Alligator mississippiensis: one gene and its partners. The protein of the gene in region 4 interacts with the protein of the main gene of each other region in a biochemical or structural test. Links are inferred from orthologs where the notes say so. Each region holds a gene or a part of one and is shown on either strand. Other genes may lie near its edges. The genes, in order: MEF2A, DUSP10, MBP and MAPK14.

Region 1 (7,560 bases), on a different chromosome or scaffold from region 4:
AAATGCACGTGCAGACATGCCTACTGAGTAACAATGGCATGGAGTCATTCTCCATCCCGCCCTTACTTCCTTTTTTTGTAAGTTTGAGTTCTCTTCCTCACTTTGTAATGTCAAGTAATAAAGCAGTATTTCCCAGCGGGAAATACTGTGGGTAGAGTTTTTCTTTCAGCAAACATACCCTTTGTAAAAGTCCTTATTTATTATCTCTACCAATTTAGGTGAAGTTACACCAAGAATAAATTTGGCCTCTGCATTGAAGAAACCTTGTTTCATAGGTTGCGTTTATCCTCCTGTGTATCTTTCAGAACATTTTAAATTACATTTCCCCCCTGCATTGTGACAAACGCCCAAAGCCATGCACCCTTTCATTCCTCACAGTTTTGCAGTTCCTAGGTTTTGTTTTGTTTTTTAAACAAGTGACATGAGGCACGTTAATGAAGAGCTAGAAACGGAGAGGTGTTGTATGGGAATACAATACGAAGGAACTAAAATGCCACGATGTTCTAGAGATGACATAAGAGGCTGCCACAGTCATGCTTGCTTTTAGATGTGGGTCAAGGCTTAATTGGGGTTGGTGAGGATAGCTTATTTATAGGCACCCCAAACTCCTGAAAACCTCTAATGGAGTAGACCCAGGTGGACAACATTAATGGAAATTCAGCCAAAAGACTGTATCTACTTAAAATGAGGCCTGAAATTGTGTTTTTCTGTCCATGGTTTTCCTGTATGGTGTTGCTAGTTCTTTGTTCATATTTGTACATGTAGTGCAGAAATCACAATGGTCTTCAGAGTCAATGGGAGGGGTGTTTCAGCAGTTCTTCTTGGTCCATCTGTGATCTTTGATGCCACTGTCTGTCAGTTTTGGTAATCTGTGAGAGAAGCCTGGAGTGTGGTGGATGGAACTGCATTTAGTGATTCTCTCTCTCTTGACCAAAGAGTGATTGTAAGTGCTAATTCGATAATTACTCACTAGACATACAGGCACACTTTGTGATATCCTGTGAGCTTTAGTCCATTGCTCTTTCTGTGGAAAAGGTGACAGACTCTGGGGTGCTGTACAATTAGATCCAGTGGCTAAAGTTTCTCTAGTTTCCTGGTTAATGCTGAACATAAAGAAAAGGAGCAGTTCAGATTTGGTGGAGGGTAGACAACAAGGTAGTAATGTTAGGCCGGGGGTGCATGAAGAAGTGCTGGCTGGTTGATTTACCCACCATTACAAAAGAATGTGCATTTCAGATTCAGTTTCTATCTACTACTGGTTTCTTATGCGGATGCAGTAGCCAGAAGTTTTTTGTTACTATTTGCATCTGTCTAAGCAGGTTGATGTGGGTAGTGCCTTGATTATCTATGCCTTCCTCTCCTTCACTTTGGATTACTCCACTGCATTCTGCTCGGGGCTACCTTTTGAAGCCTTTCTGGAAATTAAAGTAAGCATAAAACAAGGCTTACAGCTCGCTCAGAGGTTTTAGTTTCTTTCATTTCCGTGCCTGTTGTCTCAGTATACAGCCTAAAAAAGGTTAATGGAATAAGAAATCCTCGCAGTATATCCCGAGACATCGCAAAGTGCATCTGGATGGTTATTCCAGGATTGTATCATTGATTCAATAGCCGAAAAAAGCAGTGAATTGAACTGCTCACTAAACCCTGATTAGAAGGGTGAGTACGTTCCAATCCCAGCATATTTCTGTTCTGGGATAAACATAAGCACAACTAGTCCAGGGACAAGTGCAATGTCTGTCTTTAGCCTAAAGGTCAGGGTTGTGGCAGTAGCTGTAGAAGTAAATCTTTAGGTACAGAAAAAAACATCTGTAGTTTCTGTTGGAAACTATATTTTTCATTTTTTTCCTAAATTGTTCTTTTGCGTTATGTTTTTGACACAGATGTGAGCATGTTTCAGTAGTAAACGAGAACTCCTTCTCTATATCCCTTACTTGTGATTTTCAGCTCTTGACAGGGCATATAAAGATACTTGGATAACAAATGTTGTATCTGTACCCCTAATACTGTTAGAAAGAACCAATTAGTCTTGGATTCTTTTCTATCTTTTTCACTTTGACTATGATTTCTTTTCAATGCTGAATCATATTAACGGATACATTCAGAAGCCCTTACTAAGTTATTCAAGCATACCCATTGACTACAAATCAAGGCCTGAATAAGGAATGCAAGATTTGGCCCACTGACTCTTACCATGTTCTCTTTTAAAAGGATTTCAAGGTATTAATTGCAAGTTTTTTTTTCATAAATAGTAAATACATTTTATATCTGAATTAACATTAATTACATTTGACTTTGTTACTCGTCAAGATGAACATGTTGAGAAAGATACATGACTTCCTTGCCTAAGTGTTTTCCTGATGATTATGTAAAAGTCTTCAAATATGACACTTGTATGTATTTGGCAGTTTCCTTATGTTCCCTACACAACATCCTACCATTCTCTTGATTAAACTGGAAGTAATGTTATATACCTGTTCGTTTAGCTTGCCCTCCACAATCCATGTTCCATTTTATTGGTGGTTGAGGTTACTTGACACAGTTTCACATTAATTAAATGTTCGGTAATGCTTCTGTTATAAATCCTAATCCAGGACTTTCTCCCTCTGAGCTAAAGCACACCTAATAAGACAGTTGCTATTTACAATTTTTGGGTGGGAAAGGGGGAAATTGCCGAGGTAGGTCTTGCTTTTGTTCTCCAGTGCTGCCCTGAACATACTTCCCTCATTTGCTTCTTTCCTTTTTCCTACTCTGATTAGTTATAGTTATTTAGTTAACGATAGTTAGTAATCGAAATATCCTCTCATTTTCAGTTACAAAAGAAGCACCCCTTCCCAATAGCTAATTTTTGTGACATGGCCATGATCCGGGGCTTGCTACCTTGCAATGAAGCTTCATAGGGGTGATCATTTTTGCTTCAAATCTCTTTCTTGGTAAGTAACTTCTTATCCTTTAAAAATCCTTTTAGTGTCCCTCTCTTAGCATTTTCCCTTGACAAAGATATCAAAGACAGAAAACTGATGTCATTATTTGTAAGGAACCTTTTTTTTTTGGAGAGAAAATAAATGCCAAAACATCCTTTGGTGAGGAATGGTGCATGGAAGTGAACAGCGAGGGAGGGGTCCTAGCGAAGCATTACTTACCCAAGCCAGCAAGAGGAGCGGGAGTTTACATTAACCCAGGTCTTGAGTTGTGATAAGCAAGCGACTGCTGCAAATGCTGGGTGCATTAGTTCCCTCTTTTACTGTCTTGCAGCAAAAAGGAACATTGATTATTCCCCCGCTTTTTTTCTTTTCTGTATTTGTGGCTGTGGAAAGCAGAAGTGAGTTCGTATAGCCAAGAAGGCCACGACCATTTGTATGTGGTAACTGCACAGGCCCTTGTGCACGTGGACCCTCCTTCCAGCCACCACCAACTATGAAACATGTCCTGTTATCCTCCAGCATCAGACCCAGGGAGAGGCCTTCCGCTAGTCCTAGTTAAGCAAATTTTCCTTTAGCTCAAGGGCATGCCCTTGGAGTTGAGCAGCCAGGCTCTTTCTCTAACTTCTTAGAGCCAGGCTTGGGGGGAGGGCACCATAATGAAGGGGAAACTCCTGCTGGTCCAGCTACATGTCAGCGGGGTGAAGTCCGACACAGGCCTGCACCAGCCAGGCAGCAAGAGCTCCTTAGCCAGGCCCTCCTTGTTAACCAGCCCAATTTGGCTGTTGCTGGCAATTCATTTTGCATTTTTTCCTCTTTTGCGTCCTTGCAATAAGGTCTTTAGCAGAGACTCTGACACAGCCGCACCGCACCTAAGCTCCCAGCAAATTTTTAGTATGGCCACAGACGAAAATAATACTAATTTTAACCATTTTCGGGCTGGTTTGCCCATGCCTGTGCTGGGACTTGGTACTATGGCTTCAAACGTGCAACCTTTGGGCTGTTAACCATGCACCGTGCATAGCGCTAACTGTGCATAGCGCTCACACCTTTCCATTTATTTTGCCTGGGAGCAGGTCTAAATAATACGCTTGCTCTAGGGCAGGGAGAGACAATGGGGAGATGCCAGGCTGCAGCCTCCTCCAGGGGCAAGGGCAGGGGCTGGGCTCTACCAGGCGGGAGGCACCAAGAGCGCATGCGCGAATTCCCGCCTGGTCTCCGAACCCGAGCGCTTACGTCAGCCACTGCGCGCATACGCCGTGGGAGGGAGGCGCGGAGCAGGCCTTTGGGAGAACGTAGTTCCTATTGGTCGAGGCTTTCCACCCCCTTTCTCTGATTGGCCATCCCTCGCTGTCACTCCCCGCCCATCACTTGTTTCCTAAGTGGCTGGCGCTTTCGCTTTATCCCACCCCCTCTTTCGCGGATTGGCTGCTCCCTGCCTTCACTCCCCCTCGCCGCCCTATCACGTCGCGCAGCTTTCGCATGAAGAATGTAGACCCGGCCGCTCCCTGGTACCAAACAAAATAGTGCGGGGAGGTGTGGGGCGCTGTGAATACTTATTCCCGCTCCGGCCGCTTTTAGCCGAGCGCGGAGGACCTCCTTCCGCCCTTTCCCATCCTCTGCCGCCTCGCGGAAGCGGCCTGCGCGTCCCCGAGACGGGCGGAAGGAGACACCAAGTATCCTTCCGCCGACTGTGTGTGACAGAGGAAGTAGTTCCGGCCCCGCCTGGACCCTGTTTCCCCAAAATAGGTCCCGGCGGGGATCCGTGCGCGGGCGGCAGTGTCTCCCCGGGAGTCTGGGAGCAGCCGCGCGGTGAGTGTGGGGTGTCACGGGGGGAGGGGCGAGCCCCCGCGGGGGGCCTCATCCTGCGGGGTGCTGGGGCCTGCCTGCAACTTCCTGCGCGCGCATGGAGGCGTCTGGAGCAGGCCAGTGTGGGGAGGGGGCTGGGGGGGTGGGTTTCTTTTGTGAGGGGTGGGGGCACCAACTTTTCTCCACCCAAAAAAAGGGGGGGGGTGCCTTTTTCATCCCCCGCCGTGCAGATGAGCCCGCGGGATGCCGCGTGAGGGTCATATTTCGGGGGGCGGGGGGGCGGGTAGGAGTTGTCGCCTAGTTTTCGCACCCGCTGCACGGTAACGTTTGCGAACGTGTGTGTCACCTAGAGGATCTTTTTTACCCCCCCCTGCATACAGGAGAGGTGTCCAGATTCGCCGGCCGTGCCCGGGAGCGGAGAGAAAGAGAGAGAGGTCAGCAAGGAGCCGTATTTTGGGGAGCTCCCCTCGAGCGGCTGAAAACCCCCCGTCCCGGCGTGGTTTTGACCTGCCGTGGAGAGGCGAGAAGGGCAGGGCTGGCCGCCCCGCAGGGGTTGGGCGTGCGCTCGTTTTTGTCTCGGAAAGGTGCGAGTCGCGGCACGGAAACGGGAGTTTCCCGCAGCAAACGAAGGCTCCCAGGGAGCAAAACGGTTCGTCCCGCCGCCGCCGAGCGGGGACCGACTGGGACATGTCACAAATCCCTGCCAGAAAAGGGAGATAAGGAAGAAAGCATGTCGAGAAGTAGATAGGGGTAACGGAGCAGGATAAGCCTTGAGCAGCCTGAGAGATTATTATAAACAAAGATCTGCTCTGGCACAGGAACGGGTATTGTGTACGGCTGTTATCTTTACGCTTTTTTTCTTTTTGGGTGTTTTGCTAAGCTTCTAGTACTGGCAGAAAGTGAGTCGTTGGCTTCCTGCTCTCCTTGGTTGGTGGGTATTGCACAGGAGCGCTTTCACCGCGTCGAGTCCAGCTGTGGTGCTGGGCATCTGAGCGAGCCTGTTGTTTTGCTATCGATGGCATTTTGGCAGGTGTTTAAGCAACGTGTAAAGGAGACAGAGCAATGGTCCTAACACCGATGTGCTATTTCTTTTTATGCAGCTTCATTTTAAAATGGGATCTGCAGGGTTGGGAATGCTTATTTTTATAGGTCAGATTGGTTCTCTTGCCTGCCACTGTACCAGCCTTTTAAAAAAAGAGTTATTTTGGGGGTCTGGGAGAGAGGAGTGACTTTGGTTGTTTTTTTTCAGCATGTAAATTGTAGAACATATCTAAACCTAGCATAAATTTTACACTTTTTTTTTTTTTAAACTAATACTTTTGAGACACAATATAAATTGAACAATAATACAGGCCAGTGGGGGGTTTGTGTGTGTTTTATGTGTATATGTATATATTTGTAATCTGGGGTTTCAGAATGATTTTAGACACATCATTGGTATAACTAAAATAGCAGTGTATTTAAAAATTGTTGAATCCTAAGCAGGGAACCAGAAAGGCATAAGAAGTGTGTTATGTTTGGCTCAGAACATTAGTTATTAGAAAGGGAATTAAGAGGAAAAAGAGCACCTTGGCCAAAGGGATTGAGGGAAATTAATTACGGAGAAAGTAAAAAGAAGAAAACATGCAATTAGTTAAGTAAAGATGAAGGTTTGATAAAGGGACATCAGTCTTCTGCTACTTGCAGAGTGGCGTTACCAGCTAAGTAGAAAGATCTTTTAGTGTAAAGTGATGGGTTCAATTGGGAGCAATGAGGGAAAATTTAAGATTAGACCACAATTGTGCATTTTCAGGGAGAAACAGTGTTAGTGCTCCCCAACCTTCATGGTGCCATGGGCAATGATATTAAGCAAATAATGTGCTGTGCACAACATAAATCTTTGCTCTTCCTGTCAACTTTCATGTTAACTCTTTGATTTCCTGTGCATATGAGCAGTCTTGTAGGTTTTCACAGGCTATGCAGAAATCATGGGCTAGGAACCAGGGTAGTAGGTCTTTTGGGCCATTTCCAACTTGTTGTTCCACTTAAGATAGGGGAGTAATTGGCTGTATCATTGCAATACAAGCAATTTGGTTCATATTAGAACTGTGCTTTTGCTTGTCTCTCTGCCTGCTTTAAGCATGTACCTAAATCACTATGATTCCTCACGCGCTCTTTTTATAAAGTGAGATTTAATGATTTAAAGCGTTCAGGATTGCTGGATATAAGGTGCTGTAGAATAATGGGATTACTCAAGTGTATGAGGAAGAAGGGTGAAATAATGAAAGATGTTTGTGATGCTAATGAACATTCTAGGTGAGGTGGCTTAAGAGAGGAGCTTATTATGCAAGTTCATTAAGTTATTGACCTTATTATACATTTTTAAATTTTTTGGGAAAGTATTTTTGTCTTTATTATTAAGACAAGCTGGTTTGTTGCAGCAGGATTCTTAACTTATTTAACAACTTTCTTTCAACTGTGATACTGCATTAGTTTCAAATGTGGTTTATCTTAAAACTCCAGTGTGGACAGCAGACCTCTTCTGGGTTAGTCCAGAACCAGGTTATTCAAGATTCCCATGTAGCCCTACAATAAATAAAATAAAGTTTAGTAAGCTGAGTGCTGTTTCCAAATAGTAATGCCATGCAAGTCAGTGTAAATGATGTCAGGAGTTATGTTTGCTGCCCTGCCTTGTCCAGTCATGCCATGTATTACAAAACACAGCTGGAGAATGCTGCAACAGTTATGAAAATAGTTTAGGATAGTACTGTTTAGGCTTCATAACTGTTTAAATTAAGCTTATTTGGAAAACAATTTAGCTTTTTGTTAGTAAAGATAGGGTATGAGTGTTATG
Region 2 (7,513 bases), on a different chromosome or scaffold from region 4:
CACGCTTGAGCGACTCCAGGACAATGTGGAGCGGCTGGGAAGGCATTACTCGGCTTGGCTCATTGGTATTCTCATCATAAACTATGATTTCTTTGGAAAAGATCCTCTTGAAGGAGTCCTTGCCTTCCCGACAGGAGATCAAGTCCAAGACAGTGATCTTGCCTTGTTGGAGCCTTCTTCTGCTGATCTTGTCAGAACAGTTAATATGAACGGCTCCTTGGATGTGACTTTTATTGTACTCCATGAATGGCCTGCAGTCAATGATGACAGGCCCTTGGTTCTGTTGGTGGCTCTTGGTGCATTTGGTCATCTTTTTAGCCAAGTCATTAGGATAGATTATTTTTATGCTAGCTAGTTGCTTGGTTGTGCCTGAGGCTGGGCTCCCCACACCGCCTGACGGACTCAAAGTGCCAATGTTCTCGTTATTGTTGACCATTTGGTTAGCAGGGCAAGGAGCAGAGGTTCCTACGTTGGTGGTGCTGCTGGTGCTTGCTTGAGTTTGGGCCTGATTGTCCTTATCGTACGTTGCCACAGTGCAGCAACTGGCGCTGCTGCATCCACAACTCAGGGAGCGAGCAGAGCCGTTGGATGAGGGCATATACGTGAGATTAGCCGCCTTTAGGGACACGACAGCTGTGCTGAGAAGACTTGCGTGGCTCTCACTGGCAGAGGCAGCAGATTCAAGGTAGCTAGAGTCTAAACAAAGGTTGAGATCCTGAGGTCTTACTGGCCTTGAAAGTGCCACCACTACCCTGTCGTCTAATGGAGATGGAGGCATGAGGAGGCTGAAAACTGGCAAGTCAAGAAGAACTCAAGATGTATCTGCAAGGGGAGAAAGGAAAGAGAGAGAAAGAAAAAAAAAAGATCACATGACACATACAGGGCCCAGCGATTTCGAGCAGCTAGTTCTGATAGTGATCAGCCCTGGCAAGAGTTATCAGCTCAGTGGGGCTCCCAAAGGGAACCCTATACTAATCCTGCAGCAAAAATCTCAGCTCTTTGCCTGGATGCAAAGGCGATGCAGAGCAGCCACAGGCTTAGCCAGCCTGGCTGCACCCCAGGAGGGAGCAGGCCCTTTGTGTGCACACCGAGCTGAGCTGTTCCTGGGGGCCACAAGGAACAGGCAGCTGAGTGATAAGGCTGAGTGAAGTGACTCCAGGACTCACAGAGGAAGGCACCGCAGCTCAGGCTGGCAGTGGAGGATGTGCAACTTTCCACACAGCCAAAATACAAGCAGGCTTTGCACAATCCCCTCTGAGCCCAGGCAGCCAGGAGAAGCAGAGGATGCTGTAGGTCGCGGTCCTGGAGGCAGCCTGCGCCTTGCACCCCTCTGCTCCCCTGGACAGATCCTCCAAGGTGCCTGCATGCCTTGAGAAACCCCTGGAGGCAGACTCCAGATACCAGGCTCCACACACAGCATCTCTATACCTTTAACCTCTCATCTACTGTTAACACCCCCCCCCCCAACCGACCTGCACTTGTGGGGCAGCTGAAGCCCCTGCTCCCAGTGCCTGTGACCCACAAGTGAACTGCATGCATTCAAGGGGGCGGGCACTTGGCACAGCGGTCCTTCCCTCCCAGCATTGCACTGCCCAGCTCCATGGAGTCCTGGCCCCTTGCTTCAGGTTCATGAGGCAGCAGGGAGGCCAGGAACCCCTCTTCCCTTCAAGCAAAAATCATTTCACAGGCTGCCTTGGAAGATTGTGTGTGTGTGGGGGGGGGATGCATGTGCCAATTGGGGGGGGGGGGGCTGTGGTGTGTATATGGTGCATGCCTGTGTGAAATGTGTTTCTCTGTGTGTGCCTGTGTGAAGTGTATACGCACGCCTGTGGTGTGTGCCTGTGTGAAGTGTGCGCGCGCCTGTGTGCTTGGGGGGGAGGTATCACCGTCACCCCCATCCATAAGTCAGCACTCCCCCGGCGGGGGCGGCGATCGCCCGGAGTTACCTGGACGGAACGACCCCCGCCCCCAGGACCTCCAGCACTTCACGGCTCTCCCCTCGCCCCCTCTTCAGTGGGGCTCCCCACCCCCCGCCTTGTATAACAAAGCCCTGCACATGCATACATAACACATGTAAAAAGCCCCCCGCCAAGCTACCGAATTAAAAACAACCGCCAACTTAGTTTTATTTCCAAACATGCATGAACGCGGCGAGACAGCCCCGCTCCCGCAGCGCAGTGTGCTCTGCTCCAGCCCCAGGTCGGGCAGCCCTGCCTGCGCCTCTGCAGCGGAGGGTCCTAGACACCCGGCCACGCCGTCAAGGCACAGCAGGGCACCCCGCGGCCAGGCCAAGTACCCCTCCCCGCCCACCCGGGACCTGGCACACAGGAAGGCGGCGGGGAGGGGAAGGTGGGGGGGGGGGTGAAGCAAGCAGCGACGCCCGGGGAAGTAGGCAGCACACACAGGCAGAGCTCTCCGCGTACTTTGGTCCCCGCCGCCTGACACACACTGCAGCACTCCCCTCGCCCCAGCACCGACAGGCGACACCCGGGGTCAGTCGGAAGAGACAGTCCAAAGCCCCCGCCGCTCTCGGCTCCTTCTGTCCTCCAGCACGGAGCTTGGCAGAGGCGGGGATCGATGTCCTTTCCTAGCACGGCACACAAGTCCTGCACGTACGTGTGCACACCCCCTCAACACACACACGTGTAAACATACACACACACGTTACACACATATACGAGCATACATACACACACGTCACACGTCTGCATATACACACACCGCATACCTGCATACACACACGTGTGTGCATACATGTACGTACACACACATATATACACATAAAGACACATGGATATGTGTGTATACATACACACATGTGTACATATGTGTGTCTACACACACGCAGATCCCAGTTGCCCTCCCCCGTGAGGCTAATGAAAGGCTCCTTGCACTTACTTCAGAAATCCGCCTGTCCCTGCAGCATCCGGCGCCGGCGGTAGCTAGTGACTGCGCGCTGAGCCCACCCCTGCCCTCGGCTCCATTGATCTACAGCTGCAACATAGTTACTTTCTCTTTTGCTACAGTGTAAATGTAAGGTTCGAAAGGGGCGGGGCGGGGGCGGACGAGCGGCGCCCGCGTCCAATGGGGGCCCGACACTGGTAGCGGGCGGGGCGGGGAGGGGCGGGGCCGGCCGGGCTTGGGGGCGTTCGCAGCCGCGGCTCTCTGGCCTCTAGTGTTCCAGCGCGGGGGGGCCGGGGGAGAGGGTGATGTCATTGGCAGCCAATCAAACGCTATCAAGAGCCAGCCGGAGCCAGAGAGGAGCAGCTGCTCTCTATTTACATGTGCGCGGGGCCCGGTGCGCTCGGTTCTGCCCCTGCCCGGGCCCAGCGCAGACGTTCGCGGCCCCCCCTCCCCCCGCAGGCTGCTTCTCCGCTCTGCCTCTACATCCTCACTCTATCCTTCCTCTGCCCCCTTCTCCGAGCTAGTCTCTCTCTCTCTCCCCCAGCGAAGCAGGAGTCCAGCTCCGGAGCTGGGCAAGAAGCCGGGCGGGAAGCGAGGGCCCCCTCGGAGCCAGCCCTCGGAGCTGCCGCGGTGAGTCCCGCTCCCTCCGGCCCAGGCGGCTGCGGGGAATGTCCAGCGCCGGCTCCGAGGCTGCAGGGACCCGGGCTCGCCCTGCTCGGAGGAGGCGGGAGAGAGGCAGGAGTCCCTGGGGCAGCCCTGAGGCACAGTGCACAGACCCCTGTCACCTGCTGGACACCTTCTGCTGCCCCCTCCCTGCTGCCACCAGGGTCCTTGTGTCCTGAAGGAGGCTTTAACCCTTCCCCCGGGCCCTCTTCACAGCCGGACACAGCCCAGCCTCCACCTTGCAAGGGAGCTGTAGTCTTCCGCAGCCTGAGCCCGGGGCACAACCCCTTGTTTAACCCGCACATCCAGGCCCGTGCTGAGCACCCCTGCCGTGCCCCTCCGGCTTCCACCCCCAGCACCACAGGAGGCACATAGTCCTGGTGCTAAAGCCCAGCATAACCCTCCCTTCCCCCCAGCAGTTTTCCTTAGGATTTACAAGGGCAGGCAGTAGCCTGCCTCCACCCCCAGCAGGGAGGGAGTACAATGAGCTTGGGGCCTGGCCAGGATCCTGTCTTTTTTTTTTCTCTCCCCCCACCCCCCCCCCCCCCCCCCCGGGTATTATTGTTCCAAGGCTAATAGGGACAGAGGCAATGGGATCCCAGCTGCAGTTGTTGCAGGCTGTCCTAATGCCCAGTAATAAGTTATGGGAAGAGATCAAGCCATAAGTTGAGAGATGATCTAATATTTAATAAAACTCAGTCAGACCCCTTTGGAGACCCGAATCACTGTTGGTGCTGAACAGCCTCCTAGCTGGAAAGCAGGCTTGTCAATTATTTTAAAAGGCTAGGATTTCACTTCCCCTTTCATTGGTCTCGCTAGTCACATGGCAGTGATAGTTTGATTCAGAAGAGAGGAACAACTTTCACATTCATTGTGGGATGGGGGGTTTTTTTGGTTTGTGTTTTTTTGGGGGTTTTTTTGTTGTTGTTTTGTTTTTTGATTCAGAAAGACCCAGCCCCGCTTTACAGATTTATAAGTACTGCACAGCTCCAGGAGTCACCTCACCCACCACTGGAAGACAGCCACAGGCCAGAACAGAGCACGATAGAAGTGTAACAGGGTTAAACAAGGATGGTAAGATAGGAAGCAAAGGACACGGCATGTAATTGAAGATGTGTGGGAGACACCAAAGTCAGTAGGATGTAGTTACCTGGATTGGAGTTTGCCTGAAACTGTTGAAACAAGCTACAGCAGAGTGCTGAAAGAAAAAAGCAATGCTTTCAGTGCATTTCAGTATCTCAAAAATGCTTCCAACAGTCAGCACTAGAAAATTGGTATCAGCACTAGAAAATTGCATTGCTGCCAACCACTGGGGTGCAGAGAAGGCACATTTGAAGGAGCAGCTGTGCAAGGGTCACCCCTCAAAGTCAGGTGTATTCAGTGGTGGTTGCTGTAGCCTAGTGATAGCTTCAGTCCCACCATCATCGCGTCAAAAGCATTTGTTCTGAAAGAACCTGTTCAGGAAGAAATAAGCCTTCACTAATCCAATCACTAGTGCCATTGCCAGTGGAAACAAGGGTTAGGCTGTTTGACCGTTGTATCCTCTCCCTCTATTTTGAGTTAGTTTAGTGACTAGGGTGGTAAGAATGTCCAAATTATTTCAAGATTAAGTCACAGCCACTGCTACCAGTATTGGAGCTGACTGCAGGGGAAGAGGGAAAGGCGGGGAGGGGGGAATGAAGCACCCCAGTCAACAAGCATTGTAGATGCTTATAAACTGTACACGTGCTGTAGATAGTAGTTCTAATACATGTGGCATATGCAGGCTTTTCACATCTAGGGTGGTGTATTCAAAACATCTCTATGTCCAAATTATACTTAAGCACATAAGTTTTGCAAGTGCTAGGATTAGTGTCAATAACTGGGAGAAAAATACCCATGGCAAATTGCTACTGCAGGGGTGCATATTGATGATCTGGAAAAATCAGACCACTGCCTCTTGCAAAAAGTGGTAAAGCACTGTTTATGGTCTCCCAGTAAGTCAGGAACCTAATTGTGTATCATATGCAACAGACAACATATCCAAAAGCTCATAGCTCCTAAATGCTAGGGCACTGGGTCAATGCTGCCCTAAAGAGAGAGTCACCCACTGAGGCTCCAGGAGCAAGGTGAATCAATATTCAGCAAACAAGCCAACCAACACCAAAAAGCCTTGTGTGGTACATATACTAACTAACACATGGAATGTCTCTTTTTAGATACGTTACCTAATAATCCTGTTCAAAAAAAATAATCAAGCTCTAGTACAAGCAATGTCAAGTGGAAAAGCAATAACTCCCGTGAAAGGAAGCTATAAATCATACAGAGCACAGCACAAGGTCCAAATACAGCACAGGGCATGCTAGGTCTGTAAGTTTCTGCATGCTGTACTTCCATATTAAAGAGGAGGACAGCTGCAACCTGCTCCATGTTATGGAAATTAGAATCATCCCTCAGGCTTCTGGCATGTTGCCGGTGTGTGCTCAGTTGGGCTTTGGGTTCTTCTGGCCTAAATTAGAATATCCTAGGTAAAAGGAGGACAAAGTAAGCTGCAGGAAAAAGTTTCAGAGATAAATTATCAGAGGAGAGAAAAGGATGAAAGAGAGTTAGACTTCATGGTAATATATTCAGACTCACAAGATGATATAAAAATACTGGTTTCTCTTCCTTTTTCCATGTGTACCACACAGCAAAATTAATGTCAATATCTGAGCTGCAAGGATCCTACTGATCAGGCTATGGGAGGGCATTTAGCAGTGATAAGAGTTCTTAAAATTCTCCCCCTTCCCATGCATGAAATCTTGTATTTTCTAGCTTGCAGTTAGTATGAGCAATAATATCCCACAGTGCATCATTTCACATTGGAAATACTGGATGTCTTGTTGCCACCCAGACAATCCAATGAAGTGACCGAACAATGGATCCTAAAATATCTTCACTGATCATAAAAAGTACCGAAGGATTTCCAGGTAGAACCTTCCATCTGAAGCCCTTTGATTTTTCTGGTATTAGGACAGGAATGATATTGTCAATTTGAAACACTGAATCCAAACCAATATTCTATAGGTTTTGGTTCTGGGTAGATTCTGAAGGGCCTGCTTTTCAGCTGCATTCCAGGTGTGACTTAAGATGGTAAATGTTTCCTGAGAACATTTAGTAAAGGAAAAAAAAGAATCTCTTCTCAGCAATCTGGAGCCCCCAAAATTTCACAAGAACAGGTGACAATGCTGAGCAATTAAACACGTGATTCTGTCTATCTATAAGCTTAAGACAAGCCTAGGCATAAGCAAGATCCAGATCCAAGCACCACTTCACTCTACCCCTGCTCTCTCCTGAGCCTTCAAGTTAGTGGATACATCCAGCATAGTCCTGTATTTTTACTTTTGGTTTGCAGCTCTTACAGCAGCAGTCCCATGCCACTGGGAACAAACAGCTGGTGCTTATATCAGACATCCAAAAATCTTTGCCCCTGAACTGTCAGCTTTCCACTGAGAGCAACTGCATCTGGCACTGTGTTCTAGGCAAATGCTCAGACCAAACGATTGAGAGAATAGACTAAAAATCTTTGTTTTGCATCAGAAAATGCAGCAGCCCTGTTTGGAGACAGAATGCTTTAAAAGATATAGGTTATTTATGAAAACCATTATATACAAGCATATACTACAGAGATACAGTTATAGTAATAATTCCTGTCCCATCCAAGAGGATATATTTGAAGTAGGGAGGGGAATGCTGGTGCTTTCCCAGAATTGCCATAAAGCACTGTTTGATCCTTTTGACATGGAAATGTCAGACTCCACTCAGATTTGATTTTCCTTCCCCTTTCTTGCTTAAGATCATCAGTGAACAATTGATGCTGCTGCATACTCGTCTATATTCAACTTGGCTCTGAATTATTTCTCATTAGATTGCAATGTTTATGATTTCTTTTCTTCCACAATAAACTACTGACTACAACAGATTTTTA
Region 3 (7,128 bases), on a different chromosome or scaffold from region 4:
ACACCTAATATTGCCAGAGGCACCCTTTAAAAGGGTCTCAAGGCACTACACTGTGCCACCGCATCCTGGTTGAGAATCATGGCGGCGTGTGGGTGTGTATCACATATATATGCAGGGGTGGATGGGGAGGGAAAGATGGGTTGCGCTGGTGCACTTGCACCCCGCTTTGATTCCTGCTGCACCCAAACTTTAAAACCACCTGCCTGTCTGACAATGGCAGCAGCATTTCTAGTCAGGCAGTCCTAACAGTCACTTGACTTCCTGGCTCATTGTAATGTACCTGATCCCTTCTAAACTCTTCATTCCACAGGTGTTAAGAACCCTCCCTTCTTTTTTAATGGCCCTGATGTTCCACCAATCAAGCTAGCCTTTGTTCTGCCATTGTGCTGTCTGTTTGCTGCTCTTGGTCATGAAGTTTCTACTCTACAGAGCTGCAGATAGTATTTAATTCATTCCAATTAAGTTCTGTTGGTTTTTGTTTCAAGCTTAAACAGCATCATACAGCCTTAGGCCCCTGGTGGATCAATAAAGCTTCTAGTTTCTGTTTAACTGGAGAAAAATGTGTCTCGTTTTATGCGTGATGATGCACTCACTGGGGGCACCCCCCTTTTCAAAATTCTAAAGCAGTGGTTTTCAGCCTTTTTTTTTCCATTTGTGAACTCTTAACAAATTTTGAATGGAGATGCAGACCCCTCTGAATGATAAGTGTGAACATGTACATCCTTTTGGTTGATTACAGACATCTTTTGTGGACTCCCTAAACATAGTCTGCCACCCCCCCCCCCACAGGGCTCCATGGACCACAGGTTGAAAACTACTGCTCTAGACCCACCTCTGTGTGTGTGTGTGTGTGTGTGTGTGTGTGTGTGTGTGTGTGTGTGTGTGCGCATATACATGTGCATGCATGCACAGATACATACATGTGTGTATACATGCATGTCTAGACATGTGAACATGTGTATATTTGTAAAGGGGGTCACAATTTTGCCCTTTATTACTACAAGTAAGAGGAACCTAGAGTCCACTAAAATTTAATCAGGCTACAACTACACCAAATATAAAGATAAAACAAGAGAAACAGATAATGGAACTGTGCATGTAGATGTGCATACATACATGTGTGTATACAGACGTGTACTGATCTTAGCTGGGGCTGGTCCCGCCTGGAGCAGCGGGTAGGTCTAGATCAGAGTTTCTCAACCCATGGGTTGTGACCTAAAAGTGGGTTGCAAGAATATATGAACGGTTCCCGAACAAACTTTAAAAACGGATTTTCCTTTAAAGGAGAAAAACATGGGAAACTGGGGCTTTTCCCTTGCAGGCTGACAGAGTTCCAGCCTGCAAAGGGCTGCTTGTGCCCCCTATGCCCCATGCACGGGGACTGGGGGCGGGGGAACGGCAGGTTGGGAATGAAGGGCACTGGGTTGGGATTGGCTATGGATGTTTACAACTGGATCTTGGTACAAAAGAGGTAGAGCACCAGTGGACTAGTCACCCTCCTGAGGGTCCTTCCCACCTTCCTTTTCTACGCTAGTAGCTACATCTGCACGCAGGTGCTACTGCTGCTCCATCAATAGCTGAACACAAGAGATCACTCTTTAAAACACCCACGTCCTAGCACTATACAGGCAGTCCTCTGCTTAAGAAGTTTCGAGTTGCAATGAATGGCACTTAGGACGTTTATAAATTGACACCCTGTTTTGACTTTCTGATGTTAGTTTCGACTTTACGACGCTTCATCCGATGCCACACCACACCAGCGAGCGTTTGCTGCATTGCTTATCTCCCTGGAGAACATCTGTCCAAACTTCCTTGAGCACTTTCTTTAAGAAAGCAGACAAGACTCCAGAAAAACCTGCAGTCAAGACTTGTGAGAAGACTCCAGCCAAAAACCCTTCAAAAAGTCTGGCAAAGTCACCTCAAAGAAGTCCTTCCAAATCAATATGATTGCTATGTACCATATAAATACATTAATGTAGCTATATTACTCATCTATAATTGATAGAGTACAAAATTCTGCGTTACTTTTGGTGAAAATAGGGTATCAGGCCTTGGTTCAGGAACCAATCCCCCCATGAACGCTGCATGCCCCGGAGGCTGGGGGTGCCTGGCGACTGCCTGCTGGCAGTGGCAACAATGTCAGTGGCAGGAAGGAGCACCTGCAGATGCCACTGGCAGCCTTGGCAGCAGCCAGCAGCAATCGGGAACCGCCTGCAGATGCCCCGGTGGTGTTGGCAGCAAGGGGGGAGGGTGGTGAGCAGCGACAGCCTGCAAGTGCCGCTGGCAGCATCCGCGGCACTTTTTGCAGAGGGTGCACTGCCATGCTCAGGGGGTGCACATGCACCTGCGTGCCCCACCCTTACACGTCACCAACGTATAACATTGTTCCTACGGGAAAATCGGTCCCGACTTACGACGTTTCCATTTAAGACGCAGCTTTCGGGAACCAACCGTGCCCTAATTCCGAGGACCTTCTGCAGTAAGTGCCTGGGCGTCGTGACCATCCTGGTCACTCCGATGGAAACCAGGATGGAAACACGACAGGGCATCTGTCACAACAACTGCCCTGAACAAGGAACAACAGCGACACCGACAAGAGCCACGACAAGTCCTGGCAGCGACCCCGCCCCCGGCCCCCGAGCGCCGCTGCCCCGGCCAGGTGCGGGCGGAGCGCGGGGAACCCGGAAGGCCGCGTCCTTCGCCCGCCGCGGGGCCGGCACCTGCCTCCTGGGGGGCTGGCGCGGGGCCGGGGCCGGGGCCGGGGCCGCGCTGGCACACACGCACGCACACACGCTTGCACACGCCGTGGCGGGGGGGCCGCCTCGACGGCGGGACAGACTGACAGACAGACAGACCGCACCGTACCGCGGCCGCCGGGGCTCGCTCGGGGCTCCTGCAGCATCCAGCGGCGCGGTCCCGCCACGCCCGGGCTACGCGCAGGGGGCTCCCGGCGCCGCCGCTGCCCAGGTAGCAGCGGCAGCAGCAGCAGCAGCGCCCGGGCCGCGGCTTCCTGCTCCCGCGGCTGCAGCGCGTCCGCCCGCGGCCGTGGGCGGGTGTCACGGGAGGGTGGGGCCGCCGCCCGCTCCCAACCAGGAAGCGGCAGCCGCGCGCGGGCGGCGGGATTGGGGGCACAGCTGGAGCCCCCCCGGCTCCGGCAGAGTTGGGGTTGCTATAGCTGAGGGATTGCAGCCCCTCCCCTCCCCACAGGGGACTTCCCACCTCTCCCGCAAACAGGTGAGCCCCCCCTCACTGCTTTGCAGTCTGCAAATGCCTTGCCAGGCGGGCACCGAGTTGTTTTGTTCCCCCGGCACCTGCTTCTTGCCCCCGCGTGGGAACAGACCTGACAGGAGGGTCCCATTACACTTCCAGCCTTTGTGCGGGCGGAGAAGAATTTGGAAATCTGAATTGGGAATGGTTAAATGCCAACCCCCCCCCTTACTTCCTTTTCACATGCTCTAGGTTGGCAGTCCTGTCTGTCCGCCTCGCATGTGTTTCTGCTGTATGCAGCAAATGAGGTTCTTTCTGAATTGCAGCTGTGAAAAAAAAGCAAGGTGACACTCCTTTGGCTGTGGTTTTTTTGGGGGGGGGTTGTTTTTTGGGGGTTTTTTTTCCCCTGCTTTGGGTGTCTTTTTTCCTCTTGGTTTTATCCTTATCAGATGGAGGCTTAGGGCAGCTGACCAGCCCACCAGGTCCATCGTTTTTAGTGGCGCACATGCACAGATCACTATCAATCTTGTTTAACAGAACAAGTACTAATGCTTCTGTGAAAATACATCTTATCACTGTGGTCCTGCTGAAGAACTAGGTCAACTCATTCTCCTTTACCAATTACATGACTTCTATGATATACACATGCGCGCGCACGCACACACACACAGGTGCACATGTTTAGGGAGGGGAGAAGGAGTTTTATAAAGCTTTCTGAATTGGACTGAACCCCGTCCTCTCAGTGATGAGATATGTGCTTGCGCATTTTCACCGAAGCCAAGACTACTCATTGTGAGTGAATAATAGGAGTAAAGGGAGTCACAATTTTGCCTTTTATTACTACAAGTAAAAGGAACCTAGAGTATGCTAAAAATTAATCAGACTACAACCAAATATGAAGATAAAACAGAGAACCAGACAATAGAGCTGTGAGGAAGTAGGGGAGGAATTAAAAAATGGGAAGTGTCATAAGCATTAATAGTTTAAAATCCTGGGCATTTTATATTTAGATCACGCATGGTGCATCCACACACGTGCTTTACTGAAGAGTTGACTACTTAGTTCCACACTAAAGCACCACAGTCTACATGTGTGCCAGTATTGGCACAGTAAACTAATTAACTCTGCTGTAGGATAATACTATCCCTGACAGTACTATACAGTGGCAGTGTACTTTACTGTGCTGAAATGCATGTAAACAGTGACAGCGGGTATAAATTGCCCCTTGTCAGGGTCAGCCCAGCCAGCCAGGGGCCTGCTTTGCCCCAGCTCAAATTGCTGCTGTCCTGGGAGCATGTGTAGACACTGCGCCCAGGAGCAGTTCACTCTGGCTTGAAGTGCTCCAGAGTTTTATTGGTCACATTAATTGCATGTGTAGATGCACCCAAAGAATACTACTTTGACTAAAGGGAAAAAAAACCCAACACTAGACTCCTGTTCCAATATTATGAGTGTATAAAAAAATGTTGATAAGGGGTTTGGCAGGCCACAATCTTGCAAAAACTTATGTATGCGTTTACCTTTTTATGGTAGGGTGATATTGTAGCCATGTGTCCAGGACAAATATGAGAAGTAAAGTTTTTTGTGGGTGATATCTTTATTGGACAAACTAGGGATATAGTTGGGAGGGATATAAACAGGTTTTGGGTACCAAGTGCCCTTCCTCAGGGTGCTGAGGAAAAAGCAGACACAGAAAAAGCAGATACAATCGGTCCAATAAAAGATATCACCCACAACAATCCTTTCCTCTTTACTACTTTATACTTTGTAAAACAAACAAACTTTGTTTATCAACTTTAAAAAGTAACAGTGCATTGAATGTTCATTTTGGATGCTCATCTCCACTCTCCATAGGTTTCTAGATTCTTTAACAAACAAACAAAAAAGTTGTGTAAGTGGGCTTAAGCAAAACTGGATCCAAATATCAGCAACCTGCTGCCTCAGAAATCACAATATTCAAAAACAACCCACAGGAAATAAAATCTGGTCCCAATTCTGCAAATATTCATGCTTCTGTGCAATTTTGTGCTTGAGTAAACTCACTGAACTCGGTGAGGTCATTTGTAGGATAAGTTGTAGAAGAACATGCATATTTGCTGTATCAGGGCCTCAGAAGGAAAAACATGTAAAGTGAGTTCCACATGCCTAGGAATGAGAAGTCAGAATGATGCTATAAACCAGCTTTCAGGTAAGAGAGATTTATTTTGCTGAAGGTGATTATCATCACTCTGAGTTGTAAAACCATGCCATATTCAGTAACAACACTCTTATGTACCTCTCTTGCACTTTATAGCCTAGATACCTTTCTCCTTCTTTCAGTGTTTTTCATTTTTTTATGACTGATTTAAAAAAAATGTTTAGGACCTCATTCTTGAATGACTAAATAGGTAGTTCCCTTAGCATCCCAGATTTAGTCCCCTGAGGAAAGCATCTCAGCTGAGTGTTTGCAGGACTGAGTCCACATATTGTAATAAGGCCTCTTACAGTCTTATCACACAATAATATATAATAACCATTATATTATCAGAATCATATTTAACTTATTATAATACATAATTATTTTAACTAACAATATTGCCAATCCTCCAAGGTCTCCATCTAAAAAGAATGCACCCGTGTTCAGCAGCCATCTCTGTTCTGTGTCTGGTCGGTCTGCAAAGCAAGATTCATTTCCTCATTTATTTCCTCTCGTTGTATGTAAAATAGTATCAAAAATAGCATTAAGCCTTTCAAATACTATTTGTTCCCTAAGCTTAGTATCCTTAATTAACTGTATAGTAAAGACACTCCAACCCAGTACAAAGTGTTCCATTGTGCAAATCCAAGAAAGGAGAGATTGGAATGGAAAGAGAGTGGCATTTGCAAATAAAGTACTAAAATGTACTAAAATTGAAAGTGTAATAACAATACTAAGAAAGAGTTGACCTGGTTCTTCAGCAGGACCATAGTGATAAGATTTATTTGGCAAATAATAACTCAGATATGTGTCTCATCATGACTAATTACATATCATAAAAACTCAAAGAATGATTTAATTAAAATTCACAGAGATGCTACTGATTATAGACCAAAGAATAGTCTCTCATCTTAAAGTAATTGAGGGGCCAGGAGGAGGGAAAGACTTGATGACTATCACTCAGTGAATGTCTGTCAATGCAAAATCAAGGACATAAAGCTGCACTTACAAAGAAAACCACATAGGCCAAATTTGATTTCGTGTAAGCTTTGCCCTGTGATAATTTTACTGACTTACAATGGCAATGCTTCTGATTCACATGGTTATGTATAAAGATATTGACCATTGTTCAGTTGTAGTGCTACAAAATGGCTTGGCACTTTGTAGCACTGCAAAAATGCACAGGTGTTCCAAGCCACTGGCTGGAGAGCTATGAAGGCCAGCTCTCCAGCAAGGGGTTGATAAACCCCTGTTTTGCTCTCCCTGCCCCCTGGGTAGCCCAACTGTTAACAGCCTGTCCACTTCTGTGCTTAGAAAGGTGGTGAGCAGTGCATGATCAGCATTTCCAGACACCCCCTCCCCGCACCCCCTCCCTTACAGGGATGGTAGGGGCAGTAAAGAACTGCTGTCTTCACCTCTGCCACCCCAATAGTACAACTACCAGAGCCCCTGCTCTTGCAGTGGTAACAGGGATGCCCTAATCCCCCCCCGCGCAAATTCTCTACCACCTTCCAGGGGAGTAAGCAGACAGCAGGAGGAAGATATAGGGTTAAGGTAAGGGAATTTCTGTTCCTGCATGAAGAGTGGCGGAGCTCTATCTGAGACTATTCAGGCAATGGTAGGAAATATGAGGGGCGTGGGGGGGGGAGGGGCTTCAGGCTGTGCAGCGCCACCCTGCTTGGGCTCTGTCAAGTGATTGGTGGACCCCAGGAAGGGTCTACAGCTATGTGGTCAACAGAGTGCCA
Region 4 (7,224 bases):
CTGATGAAGATGTAGTACATCCAAATAAAGCCAGAAATTAAGTGGACATGAACATAACTCAGGGACAGCTCAAGCTAGGTGCCAGCAGCATCAAACCAAATTAAAAGGGAAACTGATAAAGTGGCTCCCAAACTTTAACTGGTTATGCTTTCCCTGATGGAAGAACAGGGGACATTCTCTGTTAAAAAACGCTGCTATCTGGTGCACGCTGTTGGGAACTCACCATAGACGGATGGTTTATAACAGGAGAGACACCCTAATCCCAAGAGCCAATGTTCCAAAGAGAATTTGTGAGGGTTCAACTTTCCCATTCTTTTCAAAGAATAAAGGGCGGGCAAATGGGTTAGAAAGAGGGTATCAAAGATACAGCCCACAGACCAAATCCAGGCCACAGAGCTGTGTCACCAAGTCCGTGTGGCTCCTGGAGAAGCCTTGTGATCTTCTCCAGGAGCCACAGATGTAGGGTAAGTGGAGGCAAGGCCCACCATAAAAATATCAGGGTATGGAGCTCTGTTGGGGATGTGTTTCAGTAAGGGCTGCATTAACCTCCCAGCTCCCTAATCTGATACAGCACTGCTCACCCCACCACTGCTTGCCCACTGCTCGCCTTGCCACTGGAGCTGGGTTCAAATCCGACCCAGAAGATTTCTTGCTGGCTGGTTCTAGCCCGAGAGGAGCCCTGCTGTCAGGATGTGGCCTGGGGGCCAAGCACGTCTGACAGTCACTCCTGGGTGAGAGCAATTTTTGTCAGTCCTGCAGGAAAGCCAGCCAGCCTCTCGGTCCTACGAAGAGGGAACCGAAAATGGTATCTGGAGAATTTAAGCAACCAAAATAGCAAAATCTACAAAGCGGAAAAGCAGACGTAACCTTGTATCTAGCAACTTGGGTGGCGGGAAGCCCTGAAACAATTGGCACGGTTCCTCCTCATCACGCACAAAACCTTGGGCTGATGACAAGTCTGAGACAGACGTTCATAATGGACAGAGACCGGCGTGGACTGTCGGCTGTAGCGCTGTGCTGAGCTTCGCCTCCCACTCCCCAGGCATGGAGCTCTGTAGCGACTATTTGATTTCAGCTGTTATTACAAACTTCTGGTTTTGCATTGACAAGTAGCAGCAGAAGGACAGCACCTGACAGAGCCCCTCAGCTTTTTCACAGATTTCCAGAAAACAACTCACCTGCATTGGACCTTCCTTCGTTGGACTTGAAAGATTTTGAAATCCCTGTTCTTGGGCAGGGGCTCGTGTCTTTCGTAGGTTCTCTCAAAGTGGTCTTCAGTGCGCAGACCCCGATTGATGTGGTAGCTCCTTGATTGCCTGTGCGGACCGAAGGGATGACTGTCTGGCTCCATCCGGTCTCGGACGTCCGAAGGCACGGGAACCCCGAATGCCGGCAAGCAAAATGAAAGCTCTCGTCTGCGATGCTAAAGAGAGGAAAGAGGGTCACGGACCTGAAATGACTCTTCAGATAGTTACACCGACTGAACCGACCGGGCGCCAGGGTCGGTAATCGACGCCCGGGGCCGCCCCACACAATCCGCAGAGTTAAATTAGGCTCTGGCAGCTGGAAATCCTCTATCTGCTAAGTGCAAGCAGCAACCCCGATGCGGCCTGCGGCACCGCCTGGTCACGTCGGGGCGGGATGCGATCCTGCTAGCCCTGCGTTGATCTCTAGGGCCTGCGAGAGCAGTGCCCCAGCCATGCCGCTGAGCCTCTCGCTCTCCTTCCCATCCCGTGAGCCCCTCCTTCCCATGGCTTTCTCCGCCTCCTTTTTTTCCTCCCTCTTTCCTCCAGGCCTCCCTCTGCCCCTCGCCCCTCAGCCGCTGGGGCCGTCCCAGGCAGGCTGCCCACCCTGCCCACGGCAGCGCAATGGCAGGCGCTGGCACGGCCGTCCCCTCAAAGCCGTGGCTCGGCCAACTGCCAGCCCGGGGGGAGGGGTGGAGGATCTTTCTGGAAGGCTCCCACCCCAGGAGGGCGCCGGGTCGGGTCCCCCTCTTGGAGGAAACTGCGGCTGATCCACCCCCGAGGGAGGGCGTCTGACTCCCCCCCCTTCCACTTCTGCCCCAGGTGGGACAAGAGCCGAGTCCCAGGTCTACCCGCTCTCCTCGACGGGCGTGCAACGCGAGGGACGGCTCCCAAGAGCCTGGAGAGGCATTGCCAAGGATCCTGCGCGGCAAACGGGAAGGTCGCGGCGCAGACGCCAGCTTCCTGGCTCCAGCCAGCGTTGCCAGCACGGCGTGAAAGCAACTTCGCCGGACTGGAAGTTGCGCACGGGTGTCCCACCCCCAAAACAAGCGCTCTGCTCCCAGCTTGAGCTCTCATGGCAGCCAGAGGAAATGTTTTGAGGACACGTTCAAGAACATGGAGGCCCACATCAAGAGCTGGGAGCTGGCTGCTAAGTGACCCCAAAGGTGCTGCAACCTCAACCAAGCGGCAGCCCGCTCGAGGTAAAGCGTCTGCCCGTCTAAGCAGAGAAGAGAGAGCGGAGACAGGAGAAGGAGAGGAGCCCCAACCTACAGCCGATTCCCCCTGAAGAAAGATCTGCAACATCGGCGGATGGGTCCCGTGGCTCCATGATTGGACTCTTAAGTCACCTGAAGACCCAGTGATGAGGCATGGTAGAGATCGGCCTCGAATCAAGGGATTGCTGCTGCTGACCATTTGAACTGCGCGGGGTAGTTAGACTTGGCTTGCGCGCACATTGCAAGTGGCAGGACAGGCGAGATCCAACCTCCTCCCTACTTATAACTTCTCAGGGGAGCAGACTTCAGTCCCACAAAGCCAAACTCTAACACCAGGGATGTGGCTTGGGTGGGATCACGATCAAATTGCGCTGGATGGGGCAAATACCACACAAATATCACTATTCCTGTCTCAGGGAGAAGCGGAGGCTTGACCTCACGCCTCAGGTGAAGTATAGCACGGTCCACGGTCCTAAATTCAAACCCCACTAAACACTGGTTATTTGTTGGTTGACCATTGCTCATCTCTTTACTTTCTTCTTCTTATTTTAATTCAGGCTCAACTTCAGCACTGCTTATTAGGACATGCTTTACTTGAAGTGCTGATTTAAAGCCAGTTGGTTTAATCTAATTACCTGAAACACATGCTTCAAGTTAAGTATATCCACATCTGCTTTGGCAGCATGCCTCGTGCAATGCGGACAAACACAGATATTCCACTTCCCTAAAATATTAATAGTGCAGAAGGTGCATGCAATGGGGGCCCAGGCCCAGGACACACTGGGAAATCCACCTGGGGGACAACTGTCATTGCAGGTCTTTCAGATGGACACTAGAGGCCAAATCGGCATTAAAAGGAAGGACATGGTCACACCAAACTGGGACTCGGGCTCTCCTAAATCTGCTTCTGTGCAAATGCGTCAGGTATCCAGTTGGTAGCTGTATTGGTCTAGAGGAAAAAGCAATCAGGGTCCGTGGACAGAAGTGATGTCTTTTATTAAGATTTTTTTTGCAAAGATCTTGTTGGTTTAATTGCAAGCTTTCAGGCACAAACACCCTTTATCAGGCATCAGAGAAACACCTTTCATACAGGCCTAAACCTGGATACCGGACGCATGGAATATGTTGAATTTTAGCTGATTTTTTAAATGAAATCTTCATATTTTCCCAAGCTGGAAGCAACTGCAACCGCCTGAAACGTGAGACCCTGCTCCTGCCTTTGTTTCAAGGTAATTCGCATCATCACAGATCCTCACAGGAGACCTGTCCTTAACAGCTATGAACCACTGCCCTGAGTTTTCCATCTATTGACCCCTCCATAAAATCCTGTGAAATACGAACTTTCATTTCTACCCGGGAGAACTTTTCCAATCTTTTCTCTGATGCCTGATGTGGGTTTGTGCCTGAAAGTTTGCAATGAAAGAACTTGCAATTAAAGTTTGCAATGAAAGTCTGCAATTAAAGATTTTTTTTTCCTTTTTTTGCAAAAAAAATCTTCTTGGTCCAATGAGAGATCGCTTCTGTCCCCTGGCCGTGACGGCTCCGTGCAAAAGCCTCAGCGAAGGTTATTCCCGCTCGGGGTTTCTTTAGCTGATTTTGCTCCTGCAACCACACGCGCCGCGGCGCCCCCCCCCCGCCCAGCTCTCGCGAGACCGCCCCCGCGCTGGTTCCATATTGGGTCATCCCCGTCCCCGCTGCCACAACTCTCGCGAGACCCACTGGAGTCTCGGCCGGGCTGTGCCACTGGCGGAGCGGGAGGGGGGCGGGGGGTGGGTGGTTACGTTGCTCCGCGGTTGCCGTCAGCGCCTGCAGCCGCCTCTACCTGCTCGAGGAGCCCCCTGCCCCCGCCTCCTGCGGCCCCCCCGCCCCGCGCGCGAGGGAGGAGCCCCCCCGCCGGCTCGGGAGGGGACGGGAGGGGGGGCCGCGCGCGGGACCCCCCCCGCCCGGCCCGGCCCGGCGCCGCCGCCGCCGCGATGTCTCAGGAGCGGCCCAAGTTCTACCGGCAGGAGCTGAACAAGACGGTGTGGGAGGTGCCCGAGCGCTACCAGAACCTGTCGCCGGTGGGCTCCGGCGCCTACGGCTCCGTGTGGTGAGTGCCCGCCAAGCTAAGCAGGGTCGGGCCCGGTGCGCGCTTGGATGGGGGACCGCGGTGGCCCAAAGGCCTCGGGCTGCGGGGACAAGGGGAGTTTGGTGCCTGAAGCATTGGGGCTGCAGAGGTCATTTAGATGCAGATCAGATCACGCCTATGCAAACTGTCCCGTGCGCTCTTCAATCCCGACAGCGTGTCCTGCTGCTGTGAAATGATGTCAGCGTGCATTTCAAACCCGGTGGTTTGAACAGCTGGGGTCAGGTAGCAGCAGAGCCTTTTAGGTGTAGAAATATTGGTAACACTGTAATGGGTTTCTCGGTGCCTGCAGTGCTCCAGCACCTGATGGGCCGGTGGGTGCAGCCAGGACGCACCTGTCACTGCATTCATGCAAAATACTCATGGTAGAAGTCAGGCTGGAGACCTCCAGAGGACTTGTCTAGTCTAACCCGCCCTGCCTGAGGCAGGGTTGTTCCTATCCAAAGCGTCCTGTGCGCCAAATCATCTTAAATACGCAACCCATGATCAGTTAATGCCAGAGCCATAGTCCCCAAATGCAAATAGAAATGATTTTCTTTTGCTGGGGTTACACGACCCCAGCAGTCTTTCCTGCCCAGATCAAGGGGCTGGACCTGATGATCGCATGATGTCCCTTCCAGCCCTAAACTTCTGTGAATCTTTACACGTTGTAGCTTTAAAAAAAAAAAAAAAAAAGCTGTCTGTTGGTTCTGTTTTTTTTGACAGCAACGTGTTCATTTGAATGATAAAACTGTCTGCAAGTTCCATTCAAATAACACCTATTTCCTAAAACTGCTGTGTCACAAGGAGATGAGTATTTGTCCCCTGCCGTGTATAAAGGAGTTAGTAGTTTGAATAACTGAATGTGCTCTTGGAACTGTTATCGTTGAAAAGCTGAGTTTAGTTGCAGCAGACCAGAGGCCTGACCTCCCTAGTTCATGAGTCCTCCTGAGGTGCTGAATGTGCTCAACCCTCTTGGATTATAATGGGGGGAAAATGAGCATGCTTCCTGACCGTCTGACTTTATTTTTAAGAACAACCCTTTCAAAATCCCTCCTCCTGTTCCAGATTGTGTTTTCCAGACTCTAAGTATTGCTTCCAAATGCTTCTTTCCACTGCTAACAACGTAAGGATTTGCATCATGAATTTCCTGTTTTGCAGTGTCAAAGCTTTCAAAGATTGTGCAACTGCCTTTCAGTAGCAGAAGAACCTATTTTTTATTGAAAGCAGTTTCAAACAGACTGGAGTCTAGTAGACATATCTACTGTGTCTTTCTGTATGTCTTATAGTAATTTTTTTCCTATAGAAAAGGGAGAAAATAGGTCTGTCCCCGCTGCTTTTTGCTGTACTTGGTTTGAATAGTGTAGTTTATCTTATAAAATTTGATGGCACTTTGCTACTAATCAAAGTTCATGTCTGTTTCTACAGACTTGCTCCTTCTTGGCTCATTTTCTTTTCCAATCTGTCATCACTACGAAGTATGTTGTATTTAAGATATAATTGGAACAGATTAAGGTTACAACAGCAAAGCCAGGAGATTCTCCTGCAGTGTTAAATTGAGGTAGTGAAATAAGCAGAATATACTAAGATATATCACTATAGGGGTATGTACCAGGGAGGATGTGAATGGGTGGGTGGGAGCTGGGGGTAGAGGGAGTTTAAACAGGAGGAATATTAAGTCTCATAGAGAGAAGACTTTTTCAAACATAAATAATTGCATCAGCAAATCATGAAGACCATATTTTCCAAAGTATAACATCATTTATTTAGGAGATGGTGCAGGTAGACATCTCAGTTGTTTTTAGGAGACAGCTTTAATTTAAGAAATGGAAATTAAGATGCAGAGATACGGGGTGGAGGCTCAAACTTTTAGGAACTGAGAAACTGATGTAGACAGAAATGTTTCTTACACTCAGCAAATAATCATTTGCTGTTGTATCTGTTGGATGGAATACATATTTCATTTGATCGTACAACAGTTTCAATATTCTTGACACAACCCTGTGGTTTAGTCTACACGAATTCATTCTGGGGTTGCTGAAGTACCTCTCTCATAAAGCCCTGACAGTTTGGAAGAGGGGATTTTGAATAACTTCCTGCAAGGTTGTAAAATGGAATTGATGCTGCTACAACACTAGTAATTTCCCTCCCATGTGGGGGAGAACTAATTGTAGATAGCATGGTTTCAATTAGTTCCAAGCTAAGAAAAGTGTGTTATAGATGTTTCAGCACTTTGAAACGGTCAGTACTCAAAACGGGTTTTGCACTAGATGGGCATAGTGTTGCACAGGCATTATGAATGCAAGGCTTTACAAGCAGTGTCTTTTTCTTGTAGTCGGCTTTTGCCCAAAGTTTTTGGGAACTTCACAGTCAAATATGTTTTAATTTGTTCTAGAATATGTCTAAAGCTTCATTCAGTTTCAGGAGGAATTTAAGCAGATGCACAAGAATCTTGTAACATGGCTCGTATATAGCATATATATCCAGATACACACAGTACAGTATTCACAGTAGTTTAGGGCTGGAAGGGACCTCATGAGATCATTGGGTCCAGCCCCCCTGCTCTGGGCAGGAAAGACTGCTGGGGTCAAGTAACCCCAGCAAGGTGTGCATCCAGTCTCCTCTTGAAGATCTCCAGGGTAGGTGCCTGCACCACACC

The links.
Region 1: of the proteins of MAPK14 (region 4) and MEF2A, one has a biochemical effect on the other in vitro, tested with the Homo sapiens proteins (2 studies listed by BioGRID). The link is inferred for Alligator mississippiensis from reciprocal best matches to the Homo sapiens genes MAPK14 and MEF2A.
Region 2: the proteins of MAPK14 (region 4) and DUSP10 form a complex in vitro, tested with the Homo sapiens proteins (2 studies listed by BioGRID, with this or other methods). The link is inferred for Alligator mississippiensis from reciprocal best matches to the Homo sapiens genes MAPK14 and DUSP10.
Region 3: of the proteins of MAPK14 (region 4) and MBP, one has a biochemical effect on the other in vitro, tested with the Homo sapiens proteins (4 studies listed by BioGRID). The link is inferred for Alligator mississippiensis from reciprocal best matches to the Homo sapiens genes MAPK14 and MBP.

Annotation. Positions count from the first base shown.
Region 1 is NC_081834.1:7,960,534-7,968,093, reverse strand, and holds the start of MEF2A (myocyte-specific enhancer factor 2A), read left to right. Parts: upstream 1-4,559; 5' UTR 4,560-4,730; intron 4,731-5,107; exon of another isoform or gene 5,108-5,161; intron 5,162-7,560. UniProt on the Homo sapiens protein: Transcriptional activator which binds specifically to the MEF2 element, 5'-YTA[AT](4)TAR-3', found in numerous muscle-specific genes. Also involved in the activation of numerous growth factor- and stress-induced genes.
Region 2 is NC_081824.1:182,923,901-182,931,413, reverse strand, and holds the start of DUSP10 (dual specificity protein phosphatase 10), read right to left. Parts: upstream 3,012-7,513; 5' UTR 2,899-3,011; intron 823-2,898; 5' UTR 779-822; coding exon 1-778. UniProt on the Homo sapiens protein: Protein phosphatase involved in the inactivation of MAP kinases. Has a specificity for the MAPK11/MAPK12/MAPK13/MAPK14 subfamily. It preferably dephosphorylates p38.
Region 3 is NC_081826.1:110,529,080-110,536,207, forward strand, and holds the start of MBP (myelin basic protein), read right to left. Parts: upstream 3,004-7,128; 5' UTR 2,866-3,003; intron 1-2,865. UniProt on the Homo sapiens protein: The classic group of MBP isoforms (isoform 4-isoform 14) are with PLP the most abundant protein components of the myelin membrane in the CNS. They have a role in both its formation and stabilization.
Region 4 is NC_081837.1:36,165,021-36,172,244, reverse strand, and holds the start of MAPK14 (mitogen-activated protein kinase 14), read left to right. Parts: upstream 1-4,218; 5' UTR 4,219-4,434; coding exon 4,435-4,550; intron 4,551-7,224. Other genes in the region: SLC26A8 (testis anion transporter 1), read right to left, coding at 1,179-1,351. UniProt on the Homo sapiens protein: Serine/threonine kinase which acts as an essential component of the MAP kinase signal transduction pathway.